Linked DNA regions of Arabidopsis thaliana. The protein of the gene in region 3 interacts with the protein of the main gene of each other region in a pairwise test. Each region holds a gene or a part of one and is shown on either strand. Other genes may lie near its edges.

Region 1 (4,116 bases), on a different chromosome or scaffold from region 3:
AGAAGCAACACATATTGCCAAGTAGCTTGTATACCTGCAAGTCTCTCGTGATCTTGAAACTCGATGGTGGGATTATCTTGGATGTTCCTCCGATGGTTTGTCTTCCCTCTCTGAGAACTTTGGAACTTAAAGGTGTGAGAGTCTTCAGTGACGCATCTCTTCAGCGGCTTCTATCTAATTGCCCTGTTCTTGAAGATCTAGTTGTGAATTTATATCATCATGACAATACTCTAAAGTTGACTATTATTGTCCCATCTTTGCATCGTTTGTCACTCTATATAGGTTATACTTGTGATGTAGATGAGTTTGTCATAGATACTCCTTCTTTAGAGTATTTCAAACTTGAGGATCGTAATTATGATAGTCACCCATGTTTGATCGAGAATATGCCTAAGCTAACGGTAGCATACGTCGATGTTAGATCCACTGATCTTCAGAGTCTCATCGGATCAATCACTTCTGTCAAGTATCTAACAATATCCTCTAAGGTAATCAGTTTCAATCTATCTTTGATCTTGCTCTTTAAATTCTCTGTTTATACTTTTTTTTTATTCGTTCGCAGGCTATGTTTGGTGACGGTTTTATTTTCAACCACCTTGAGCATCTGACGCTACCTGTATGGGATGATTATCCGTGGAATGTCCTTGTCCAGGTCCTCAAAGACTCTCCTAACTTACGTGAACTAAGCTGCCTCTCTGAAATGAATGTAAGTTCCTTCGTTTAACTTGTTTTCTTTTGTACATTATTTTGTTGTTCAAATCTAATTCTTCTGCTTGACTTCAGGATCATCATCAGAATTTTGGTCTGTTTTTATGGGATCAACCGAGTACTGTTCCTGAATGCATGTTGTCGAGTCTACAAAAGTTCACCTGGACAGAATATTTAGGAAGACCAGAAGACACAGATATTGCGGTTTACATCTTGAAAAACGCTTGTCGCTTAAGCACTGCAACAATCGATTCTGATACACGTTTGTTTACAAAACTCGAGATGATAACGGAGTTGACACGTTCTTCCCGAGCTTCAACAACATGCGAGCTTATCTTTTATTGAGGTTTTGAATCATTAAATGTTTTCATTTATATAATAGGATTCTATAAGTTCCATCTAGACTCGTCTGATTGCCCAACAAAGATCAGGTAATGAATGTCTTACCTACTTGCAGTGGTTTCTCTTCCATCTCTGAAAACTTTAAGACTAGTTTATAACTAGGAGATATACAATCTTGTTGCTTAGACCTAAGTTTGACAACATAATGTTAATCTTATTTGATTCTTAGAACTTGTGAGGGTCTAAGGCTCTATGATACAAATTGTATCATACAATGTGTCAAAGATATATTGCAGAGGTTCCAAAATCTCATTTATCTTTTCTCACAGTCTCTTCCAAAGCCAAATACACCGTATCAGTATACCACGCTCAGACCTAAAGTCAATCGTGAAAAAAGATTCTGAAATATTGACACTTACCTGGTTAACTAGCATGAATTTACAAAGTATGGAGCTGATAGCTACTGCCTCGTTGTGCCAGGCATCAAAATGATAGCCATTATTATTACCAAAGATTCCTTTGTAGGATTCTTGAAAAAGAGGCCCAACCCACTTACGTATCAAACACTTCTCTAGGCCCATATAGGTATCAATGAATCCCTAAAGCCAGTAGTTAAGTGTAGTGTCGCTACAAATTCTGATTCCTTCTTCTATTTTCTCCTTTTCTCGATTTCAGAGTTGTAGAGTTTCCAGAAATGCTTCCGCAGAGTTCTTCAGGCGCTTTTGATTAACCTTCTGATTCCGGTTCCGGTACAAATAAATCGAGCCTCCACTGAATTTCACTGGACAAGACTCATCACCTAACAAACCAGAGCTTCTTTCTAGGGTTTGTCTCTTGTTCTTCTGTTTTCACTTGTTTGGTATGCTTGAGACAAATCCTTTGAGTCTTTATTGTGTATTCTTTTTCAGGGTCGGTGACATTTTCTTGGTTGTTGTAAGACTATGGACAGAATCAGTGGGTTACCTGATGAAGTACTGGTTAAGATACTGTCGTTTGTTCCGACTAAAGTTGCTGTGTCAACGAGCATTTTGTCGAAACGATGGGAGTTTCTTTGGATGTGGTTGACTAAACTTAAGTTTGGTAGTAAACGTTATTCAGAGTCTGAATTCAAGAGGTTACAGTGTTTTCTTGATAGGAATCTGCCATTACATAGAGCTCCCGTTATAGAAAGTTTCCGTCTTGTGTTAAGTGATTCGCATTTTAAACCTGAGGATATCAGAATGTGGGTTGTAGTAGCAGTTTCTCGCTACATACGTGAGCTGAAGATTTATAGTTCTCACTATGGGGAGAAGCAAAACATATTGCCAAGTAGCTTATATACCTGCAAATCGCTCGTGATCTTGAAACTCGATGGCGGGGTTCTCTTGGATGTTCCTCGAATGGTTTGTCTTCCCTCTTTGAAAACTTTGGAACTGAAAGGTGTGAGATACTTCAAGCAAGGATCTCTTCAGCGGCTTCTATGTAATTGCCCTGTTCTTGAAGATCTAGTAGTGAATCTATCTCATCATGACAATATGGGAAAGCTTACTGTTATTGTCCCATCTTTGCAACGTTTATCACTCTCTACACCTTCTAGTCGTGAGTTTGTCATAGATACTCCTTCTTTACTGTCTTTCCAACTTGTGGATCGTAATGATAATAGTCACACCTTTTTGATTGAGAATATGCCTAAGCTGAGGGAAGCATATATCAATGTTCCATTCGCTGATATCAAGAGTCTCATCGGATCAATCACATCTGTCAAGCGGCTTGCAATATCCTCTGAGGTAATCAATTTCAATCCATCCACTGCTTGTCCTTAATCTCATTTTAAAAACTCTCTGTTAATACTTTTCTTTATCGTCCGCAGGTTGGTTACGGTGAAGGTTTTATCTTCAACCACCTTGAGGAACTAACGCTATGGAACAAGTATTCTTCGAATCTCCTCGTCTGGTTCCTCAAAAACTCTCCTAACTTACGAGAACTAATGCTCGTCTCCGAAACGGATGTAAGTTTCTTCCATTAACTATTACATTATTTTGTTCTTTAAAAACTAATTCTTCTGCTTGATCTCAGGATCATGAGAATCTTGGTATGCTTTCCTGGAATCAACCGAGTATTGTTCCTGAATGCATGTTGTCGAGTCTACAAAAATTCACTTGGTTTAAATACTTAGGAAGACCACAAGACAGAGATATTGCGGTTTACATCTTGAAAAACGCTTGCCGCTTAAGGACTGCAACAATCAAATCTGATACACGTTTGTTTACAAAACTCGAGATGATAACGGAGTTGAGACTTTCTTCCCAAGCTTCATCAACATGCGAACTCAACTTTTCTTGAGGATTTGAGATTCTAAGATGTCTACATTTATATAATAGGATTGTAATTCCTATCTAAACTCGTCTGACTGTCCAACAAAGATCCTATAACGAATTTCTTGTTCTTCTACTCTCTTGCTCGTATGGTTTAGTCTGTCATAAAAAAAAAAACTTGTTTACGTATAATGGAGATACACCAGAGCGAAGTTGTATACCGATAGTATAATGGAGATGCTTTGTGAACAAGAAAAGAGTACTAGTTCTGTTTTGGACCATACGTCTCTTTGCACTTCTTATACACTATTCGTTCTCAAATTCGACAAGTTAAGGTCAACTTATTTGATGCTTGTAACTTGTAAGGTTCTAAGGCTGTATGATACAAATTGAATCATACAATGTGTCATTGCAGAAGTTCCTTGCCAGTTCCACCCAAGCTTAAGTATTTATCTATAATATTTTCCTCAACTAGTTCTTTATTTCATTATTTGTGTAGTCTTGGAAGTAGTTCAAAAAGAGCAAACATATAAGTTGAAATTAGAATCATATGCTCACCAAGCACATGTGTAGTTTAATGAAAGTCAATAGGAAATAAGTACATAACTTAGTCTTGAAAATGGTGTGTTTCTAAGAGTATAGTGTCATGCTAAATGTGGATCTTAGGTTCTATACTTACCCAACCTCATATCTCTTTCTCTCTCTCGCTTATCTATTCTATATGCTGTTGATTCTTACTTCTCCAAAACAGATCTATTTCGGTATGTTTCGT
Region 2 (4,654 bases), on a different chromosome or scaffold from region 3:
ATTAACGGCATACAAAATATTCAGACACTTTACTTAACTGAAGATACTCTTGAGGTCAGTTTTCTATTATGTTCTCTCTGGTCCATTTTTGAAAGATCAATTGCAAAGTACCTCATTCGGGTTTTTTTTTTCTTGTTTTCAGGTTCTTACTATGTGCTGTGAATCAATGCCTGTGTTCAACAACCTCAAAACCTTAGGACTTAAAAGTGATGAGGGTCGCGGTTGGCAGGCAGTGCCAGCTCTTCTGAGAAACTGTCCACATCTAGAATTTCTAATCATTGAGGTCAATTACAGACCATAAAACTACTCGGACAACACATTTGTTAAAGTTGTTGGTTAGACTCAATCGTCTTATTGTCTTCTTTATGCTTTCAGGGTCTCTTACACTCTGTGACAGATAAATGCGGGGATGCTTGTGACTGCATTTCGCGGGAAGACAAAGGTCGTTCGCTCATATCTTGTCCAGTGAAGAAGTTAGAGGTTAGAGGGTTTCGTGGAACAATTCGAGAGAAAGAGATGATAAGGCATTTCTTGGAGTATTTCCCGTGTTTGGATGAGATGGAGATAGATGCCGAAGAGAATGATTCTACAAACTTTGAAGTGCCTAGAATTTTAAAAGTTGTCGCGTATAGGCTCCACGATGTGGTCTCGACAGAGATAGTTGGACATTGGCAGAGTTCGGCACAATCTGGGGGTTGGTCCCAGACCCAGATGGATGAGATGTACTATGAGGTACACTATTTGATCACCGTTTTCAATCACATAAATTCATGACAGCTTTGAATAAACTAACTGTCTTTTCTTTTCTTTTACAGTTGGCTCCCCGCAATAAAGAGCGTATCTACGATATGTTCTTCTTCATGCGTAGAGCTTCTTCCACGGTACCTCCTCCTCCGCCACAAGAGATGTCTCAAGACTACCTTCAGATGCAACTTGAAGTTGCGGATCTTAAGGAGAGGCAACGAGACCAGGAAGCCAAGCTTGCGGATCTTAAGGAGAGGCTACGGGCTATGTTAGATATGATTGTTGACCAGAACCCAATTATAGCCTCAGCGTTGAGGGCTAGAGAGGCAACTAACTCAGAGCGAGAAAAGGCGTCGAGTGGTCAGGAGATGACCGAGAAGGAGCGGGACTATGATGCTCTGTTCGATATCATTGTCGAGCAGAACCCAATGCTAGCATCGGCAGTTAGAGCTCTGCGTGCAACCGACTCAGAGCGTGCTGAGACATCCAGTAATCAGGAGATGACCGAGCTCGGCCAAGCTACGGCAACATATTTTCCCCCACGAGAAGGAGAATAGATCTGTGATTGTTTTCTTAATGCTTTCCAATTTGGTTCGGTTTGTGTTTATTTAGTTGGAATTCCAGTTCAAAATCCTGAAGCGAAGCAGCTTGTAAATTTGGATCTTCATATCTTCCCTACTCTCTCGACGTTGCATCTGTACACGGTAGGTGCGGAAGCTAACTGTTCTCTTCTGTCTCTGCTGATTTTATACTCCTTTGAAGGTATCTTATATCATTTTTGCGGGTACAAGTAATTATGTTCGACTGCATATAAAGTTATTTGATTTGAATTGTCCGGTTCGCATTAACCAAACCAACTTAAGCTTTCAGTTCTTTTTTCTTCCCGATAAAAAGCAAACTTTCAGTTTAAGAAGCTGAGACATCCAAAATTCAATAGCATCATCAGCTCATCACGATGCTTCTCTGTTTATAATCCTAATCAATTTTGCAACTGGGCGTTGGGCCTCACCTCCGTAACCCAAAGTCAAACAATTCCGGTTTGTTTACCGAATTAAACCGGTGATTAAAGTAGAACCAACAACATCCACACTTGGTTTTAAAAACCCTCAATTTCGTTTGTCTGCTGTCTTCTTCTTCTTAAAGTTGGATGTTTCGGCTACTCTGATGCATTTGCATGTATTGTCGAACTGAAAGTCTGTGACTTTTCTTCTCCTCTACGATAGAAACCAGTGACCTAGCACTCCCAACTCTCACTCTTATCACTGGACGCATTCTCCAAAATTTTGATCTTCGATTAAGCCATTCGTAGCGAGGTAAATGCTCAAGTTTTACCTATCTCCTCTGCTTCCACTGATTCTGTTTCTTGATTCAAAGTTTTCTTTGTGTGAATTCATATTTTCGTGTGAATTCATATTTTCGTGTGAATTGTGAATTAGGGTTTTCTCTGTTCCCGTTTCTACTCTCTCATCTTTTGGGGAAAAGTTGTCAACTTTCATGTTTTACCTGTAGCCGTAATAACGTACTCTTAATCTCGTGTACGCAAGATGGATCGTGTCAGCAATCTACCAGACGGGGTTCGTGGTCATATCTTGTCCTTCCTTCCCGCCAAGCACATTGCTTTGACTTCGGTTCTCTCAAAGAGCTGGCTCAATCTCTGGAAACTTATCCCTATTCTCGACATTGATGACTCTGAATTTCTTCACCCGGAAGAGGGTAAAGCGGAAAGGCTTGAAATTCGACAGAGCTTCGTTGATTTCGTGGACAGAGTTTTGGCTTTGCAGGATGATTCTCCCATTGATAGATTCTCTCTCAAGTGTATAACTGGTATTCATCCAGATCATGTGAATCGTTGGATATGTAATGTGCTGCAGCGTGGTGTTTCCGATCTTGATCTTTTCATTGATTTTTCCTATGAGGATACCCAAGAGGATGAGGATATGCTACCTCAAGAGATGTTCGTCAGTAAGACATTGGTCAAGCTGAAAATAAGAAATGATCGTTGTGTGGATTGGTGGTGTGGAAAGGGAGGCACTTCCTTACCAATGCTTAAAAGTCTTTATATTGACTCGGACTTGATTCTTTGGGGTAAGATGAAAAGGTTTCTTTCTTCTTTCCCTGTGCTTGAGGAATTACGAATGGCTAGTATGGAGTGGAAGGAATCACACGAAACCGTGTCAAGTGCAAGCCTCAGGAAGCTAAGTATCCTTGGCACCGGTTGTGAAGACTATGTGAATCCAAAGAGCATTTCTTTTGATACTCCAAGTCTTCTTTACTTAAACTACTCTGATTTAGTTGCCGAGGATTATCCATTAGTTAATATGGGAAAGTTACTTGAGGCTCGAATCAACCTTATAGTAAAAGATGATCAGATCAAGCGGGTAAGAGAGCCAAATAATGACTTGTTACAGGATGATGCGGGTAATGTTGTTCTCCAATTTGGCAATGTGGTGAAGCTCATGAACGGCATCCAAAATATTCAGATACTTTACTTAACTGCTGATACTCTTGAGGTCAGTTCTCTATTTCGTTCTCTCTGGTCTATTTGAGAAAGATTAGTTGCAAAGTATGTAGTTGGTTTTTAATTCTTGTTTTCAGGTACTTTCTCTATGCTGTGAATCAATGCCGGTGTTCAACAACCTCAAAACCTTAGGTATTAAGAGTGAAGAGGGTCGCGGTTGGCAAGCAGTGCCAGCTCTTCTGAGAAACTGTCCGCATCTAGAATATCTAATCATTGAGGTTAATTACAAACCATGGAACTACTTGACAAAACATTTGTTAAAGATGTTGGTCAGACTCAATATACTCGGTAATCTTATCGTATTCTTTATGATTTCAGGGTCTCTTACACAATGTGACAGATAAATGCGGGGATGCTTGTGACTGCATTTCTCGGGAAGACAAAGGTCGATCGCTTGCTTCTTGTCCCGTGAAGAAGGTAGAGATTCAAGGGTTTAGAGGAACGATGAGAGAGATAAACATGATAGGGCACTTCTTGAGGTCTTTTAAGTGTTTAAAGGAGATGGGGATATTTCCTGAAGAAGAGGGTCCTACAAACTTTGAAAATCCTGGAGCGTTTGAGTATGTTGAGAAGATATTGAAGCTCTACAATGAGATATCGAATTGTGATGTTTACTTCCTGGTGTGGGGTTACATGCGTAGGAAATGGACTACACAATGAAGTCTACGAGTATGAAAACGTGTTCATGATTTTTCTAATGCCATGTTTCCTTTGATTTACTTGTGCAAACTAAAAGGTGTCGAAGGCATGTTTCCATAGTTGACCCAAAACAGAGTAGTTTCTTTGGTTAAAAAATTGAAATGCATTTTCCTTGGGCAGTTTTTATGGTTTTGTAAAAGAAAATCCTGAAGGCTATTATAATTCGTCACCATTTTCCTTGCATTGAACTTCTCAGACTCTACATTGGAGTACGTTCATAAGAAAACCCATCACTGGTGAATATATCAAAGTCAAAACAAGTCTTAGAAAGAAGATAAGATCAGACTCAGATAACAAGAGATGAAACAAAGTAATAAAGCAGAGTGTTTAAAAGCAATTATTTGGTAGTAGTTTTAAGAAAAGTTGATCTGGATCTTACAATTGACCGAAGCTCTAGGAAGCATTAGTAGATCAGTGGTGATACTCAACTTTTCCTTGTCGCTACTTGCCCAAACACCAAGTTTCACATGCTCAAGACATGACAACTTCCCTAAGAAATGCTTCAGTTTCTCCAGTTCTTTGGTAGTTCCTCTGTAATGGGAGATCTCCAGGACTTCCATATGACATGACAATAGACAATTACATCCCGACGAGCACTCGCAATAATATTCAGGTTCTTCTTCTTCTTCATCATCATTGAAGTCTCTGTAGTACAAATGCAATGGACCCTGACGCAATCGAGAGAATAAGAAA
Region 3 (2,980 bases):
CAAAATTGTTGACATTAAAAGTATAACAAAATTCTCTGACTTATGTCTACCGATGCAGCTTATTGTTAATTCCCAAATCTAAGCTTAACTCTGTTAGCATATAAATCCTGATTTAGTAATGACATATTGATACTTTGTTACTTTTCATCAAACAATCTAATACTGAACTAGATGAAAATACAGCATTGATATAACTGAAAGATGGTTATTGACAGTGATAAACTGACCTAAATTATACCCTAAACTGACACACAATTCTAAAGCATATCAGTTTCTAAATACACAATAGATACAAAACTCATGAATCAGCTCATACCCATGAATCTCGACAAATACAAAAACCCATGAAAATTATAGCTTATAAGCATCATAAACTCAATACAAAACCCATGAATCTTACTTTGTCCAAAACGAGCTAAAATAAATAATCGAATCCATCTAATGACTCAAGGACAAATCAAACCCGTGAGTCTTACTGCAAGAGATAGAGAGGTAGAAGGGGAGAGTGAGAAATAGTGAAATCAAATCCATGAAACAGAGAGATAGAAGGAGAGAGTGAGTGAGAGAGAGAGAACGCACGAGAAATCCGGCAAAGAATAGTGGATTACGGCAAGAGATAGGAGTGAATTCTAGTGAGAGATCCAGTGAAGAGGTCCGGCGAAGTGAATGTCGAGGAATGAAGGAGAAATAGGTTTAGGTTTTGCTGGAATTCTTTTTAGGTAGGTGTATTTTATGACATTTCGTATTTTGGATTAAATCAGCTTCCGTTAACTGCTGTTCTGTTCCTTTTTTAAATGAGTTTATTAAAAACCATCCAACTGATCCTTCTCGCTAATCTTTTAAAGTACTGTTCGTTTTTCCATTCGATGATTCATCTAAATGAAGATAAATATTGACGTTCGTTTATAATAATTTAAAAGATCATCTGAATGGAGAAAAGAACAGTATCTAATTCACACACAAAATGAACATAAAAATTAACTAAAACTATAATCATATTTTTCTCCAACAATTTTAAAAACCAAAACCCATGAATGTTCGTTAATTTCAGTTTGTTTAGTGTAACGTAGTTTTACCCAGTAAATAATAATTTATTAAAAAAATTGTGGTGTTGGTTACCAATTTTTACATTTTCATTGATATTCACTACAAAATACACAAATAATAATTAATTCATAATCTATGTGAACGTGGAGGTTTACTTTTATTAAAACATAAGACCCTAGTCAATGATTTTTTCACACGTAGTAGATGATTAACTGTATTTTCTGAAATCAGATACGGGTAAATCTGGAAAGTAAATATTATTACTAAGGTTGAGCTTTTGGAAAAGTAAAAATATTTCTCTTTAAAAGAAAAAAATAATAAAGATTTTGTTACTTAAAATTCCAATATTTGTTTCCCTTTTATTGTTTTCCTATTATTAAAAGGATTAGATTAACATAAAAGCAATCAACCGACTTTAATTACCAAGTAAGAAATTGTTTTTACATAGATCTATAAATAGGGCACCAACTTCCCAAACCTTGAGACCATCACACAATTCACAATCAATCGCAGAGCCGATTCTCTTCAAAACTTGTCTAGTCCTTTGTCCTTGTTGCAAACGATGGCAGAAACGAAGAAGATGATCATCCTCAAGAGCTCCGACGGTGAATCCTTCGAGGTCGAGGAAGCCGTCGCGGTCGAGTCCCAGACGATTAAGCACATGATCGAGGACGACTGCGTCGATAACGGAATTCCACTTCCCAATGTCACCGGAGCCATCCTCGCGAAGGTTATCGAGTACTGCAAGAAACACGTTGAAGCCGCTGCTGAGGCTGGTGGAGACAAGGATTTCTATGGTTCCACCGAGAACCACGAGCTCAAGACTTGGGACAACGATTTCGTCAAAGTTGATCATCCTACTCTCTTCGATCTCCTTCGGGTTAGTAATGTCTTTTTCTTTGTTTTTTGGTTTTATGTTTTTAGAATTAGGGTTTTTTATATTTTTTCCATGACTATGTTAGGGTTTTATTTATATTATTGAATGTTGTGTTTTGATTTGGAGACTAATCGTCTTGGTTTATAAAGGCTGCCAACTATTTGAACATCAGTGGACTTCTTGACCTTACGTGCAAGGCCGTGGCTGATCAGATGAGAGGCAAAACTCCAGCGCAGATGCGTGAACACTTCAACATCAAGAACGACTACACACCTGAGGAAGAGGCCGAGGTTCGCAATGAGAACAGGTGGGCGTTCGAGTGATTGGAAAAGAATTTAAGAACATTTGATATCAACAAATAAAATAAGAGAAATTTATTTTGCCTGAATTTCTTTTTGCTTCCAATCTCTTTTGTCACAAAACTCCCAGAAGTGTTTCACATTTTCTTCATTCAATCCCGGCTAAACTTTATATACATAAAATCACAAAGTAATATGCATTATCAATCAAACGATTTCACAGACAAAAAAAACAGAAAAGAGATAATAATACGTCTATCTATATAAGCTATATAATTATGATGTATTTATATATCCAATTTGCCACGTTTATTTTATGATACAATAACATGTTTGCCCGAGCCATAGACGATATGAGGCCAGATGAACATGGTCGGATCTGAAATAGTCTCAATTTCTGAAATCCAATGGTAAGAGCTTATCTTCCTTTCTTATCTGCTTAAGATATAGATTTTTTGAATTTCCTTATAAAATGATTGGTATGTATAACTAAATTGGTTACAGAAAGGAAGAAAGGACCTTTTGCATCATTCGAACCAATATAAAAATGGTTTTGTTTTGGTGATAGTGAAATTAAAAATAAGCTTTCCTTATACATTGATCAAACTCGTACATGATTGGCATAATTCAGATGATTCTGCTTATACCAACTAATATGTTTTGCTGTATATGCTTGTATATCTCAGATGAGAACGGTCAATGTTTGGTAAGAAAGACACTAAACTCTGTTGTTACCAATACAAAGGTAAGAAGAGTT

What was found. The genes of interacting proteins can lie anywhere in the genome.
Region 1: the proteins of SK3 (region 3) and AT4G10400 interact in a two-hybrid assay, tested with the Arabidopsis thaliana proteins (2 studies listed by BioGRID).
Region 2: the proteins of SK3 (region 3) and AT3G58930 interact in a two-hybrid assay, tested with the Arabidopsis thaliana proteins (2 studies listed by BioGRID).

What each region holds. Positions count from the first base shown.
Region 1 is NC_003075.7:6,445,591-6,449,706, reverse strand, and holds AT4G10400 (F-box/RNI-like/FBD-like domains-containing protein), read left to right. Parts: upstream 1-1,570; 5' UTR 1,571-1,635; intron 1,636-1,684; exon of another isoform or gene 1,685-1,725; 5' UTR 1,726-1,875; exon of another isoform or gene 1,876-1,958; 5' UTR 1,959-1,991; coding exon 1,992-2,816; intron 2,817-2,899; coding exon 2,900-3,037; intron 3,038-3,105; coding exon 3,106-3,372; 3' UTR 3,373-3,591; downstream 3,592-4,116. Other genes in the region: AT4G10410 (Leucine-rich repeat (LRR) family protein), read left to right, coding at 1-132, 283-488, 563-724.
Region 2 is NC_003074.8:21,777,649-21,782,302, reverse strand, and holds AT3G58930 (F-box/RNI-like superfamily protein), read left to right. Parts: upstream 1-1,639; 5' UTR 1,640-2,057; exon of another isoform or gene 2,058-2,288; coding exon 2,289-3,254; intron 3,255-3,339; coding exon 3,340-3,480; intron 3,481-3,580; coding exon 3,581-3,922; 3' UTR 3,923-4,129; downstream 4,130-4,654. Other genes in the region: AT3G58940 (F-box/RNI-like superfamily protein), read left to right, coding at 1-54, 143-283, 376-732, 816-1,301; AT3G58920 (F-box/RNI-like superfamily protein), read right to left, coding at 4,315-4,629.
Region 3 is NC_003071.7:10,948,181-10,951,160, reverse strand, and holds SK3 (SKP1-like 3), read left to right. Parts: upstream 1-1,534; 5' UTR 1,535-1,609; coding exon 1,610-1,927; intron 1,928-2,073; coding exon 2,074-2,247; 3' UTR 2,248-2,414; downstream 2,415-2,980. UniProt on the Arabidopsis thaliana protein: Involved in ubiquitination and subsequent proteasomal degradation of target proteins. Together with CUL1, RBX1 and a F-box protein, it forms a SCF E3 ubiquitin ligase complex. The functional specificity of this complex depends on the type of F-box protein.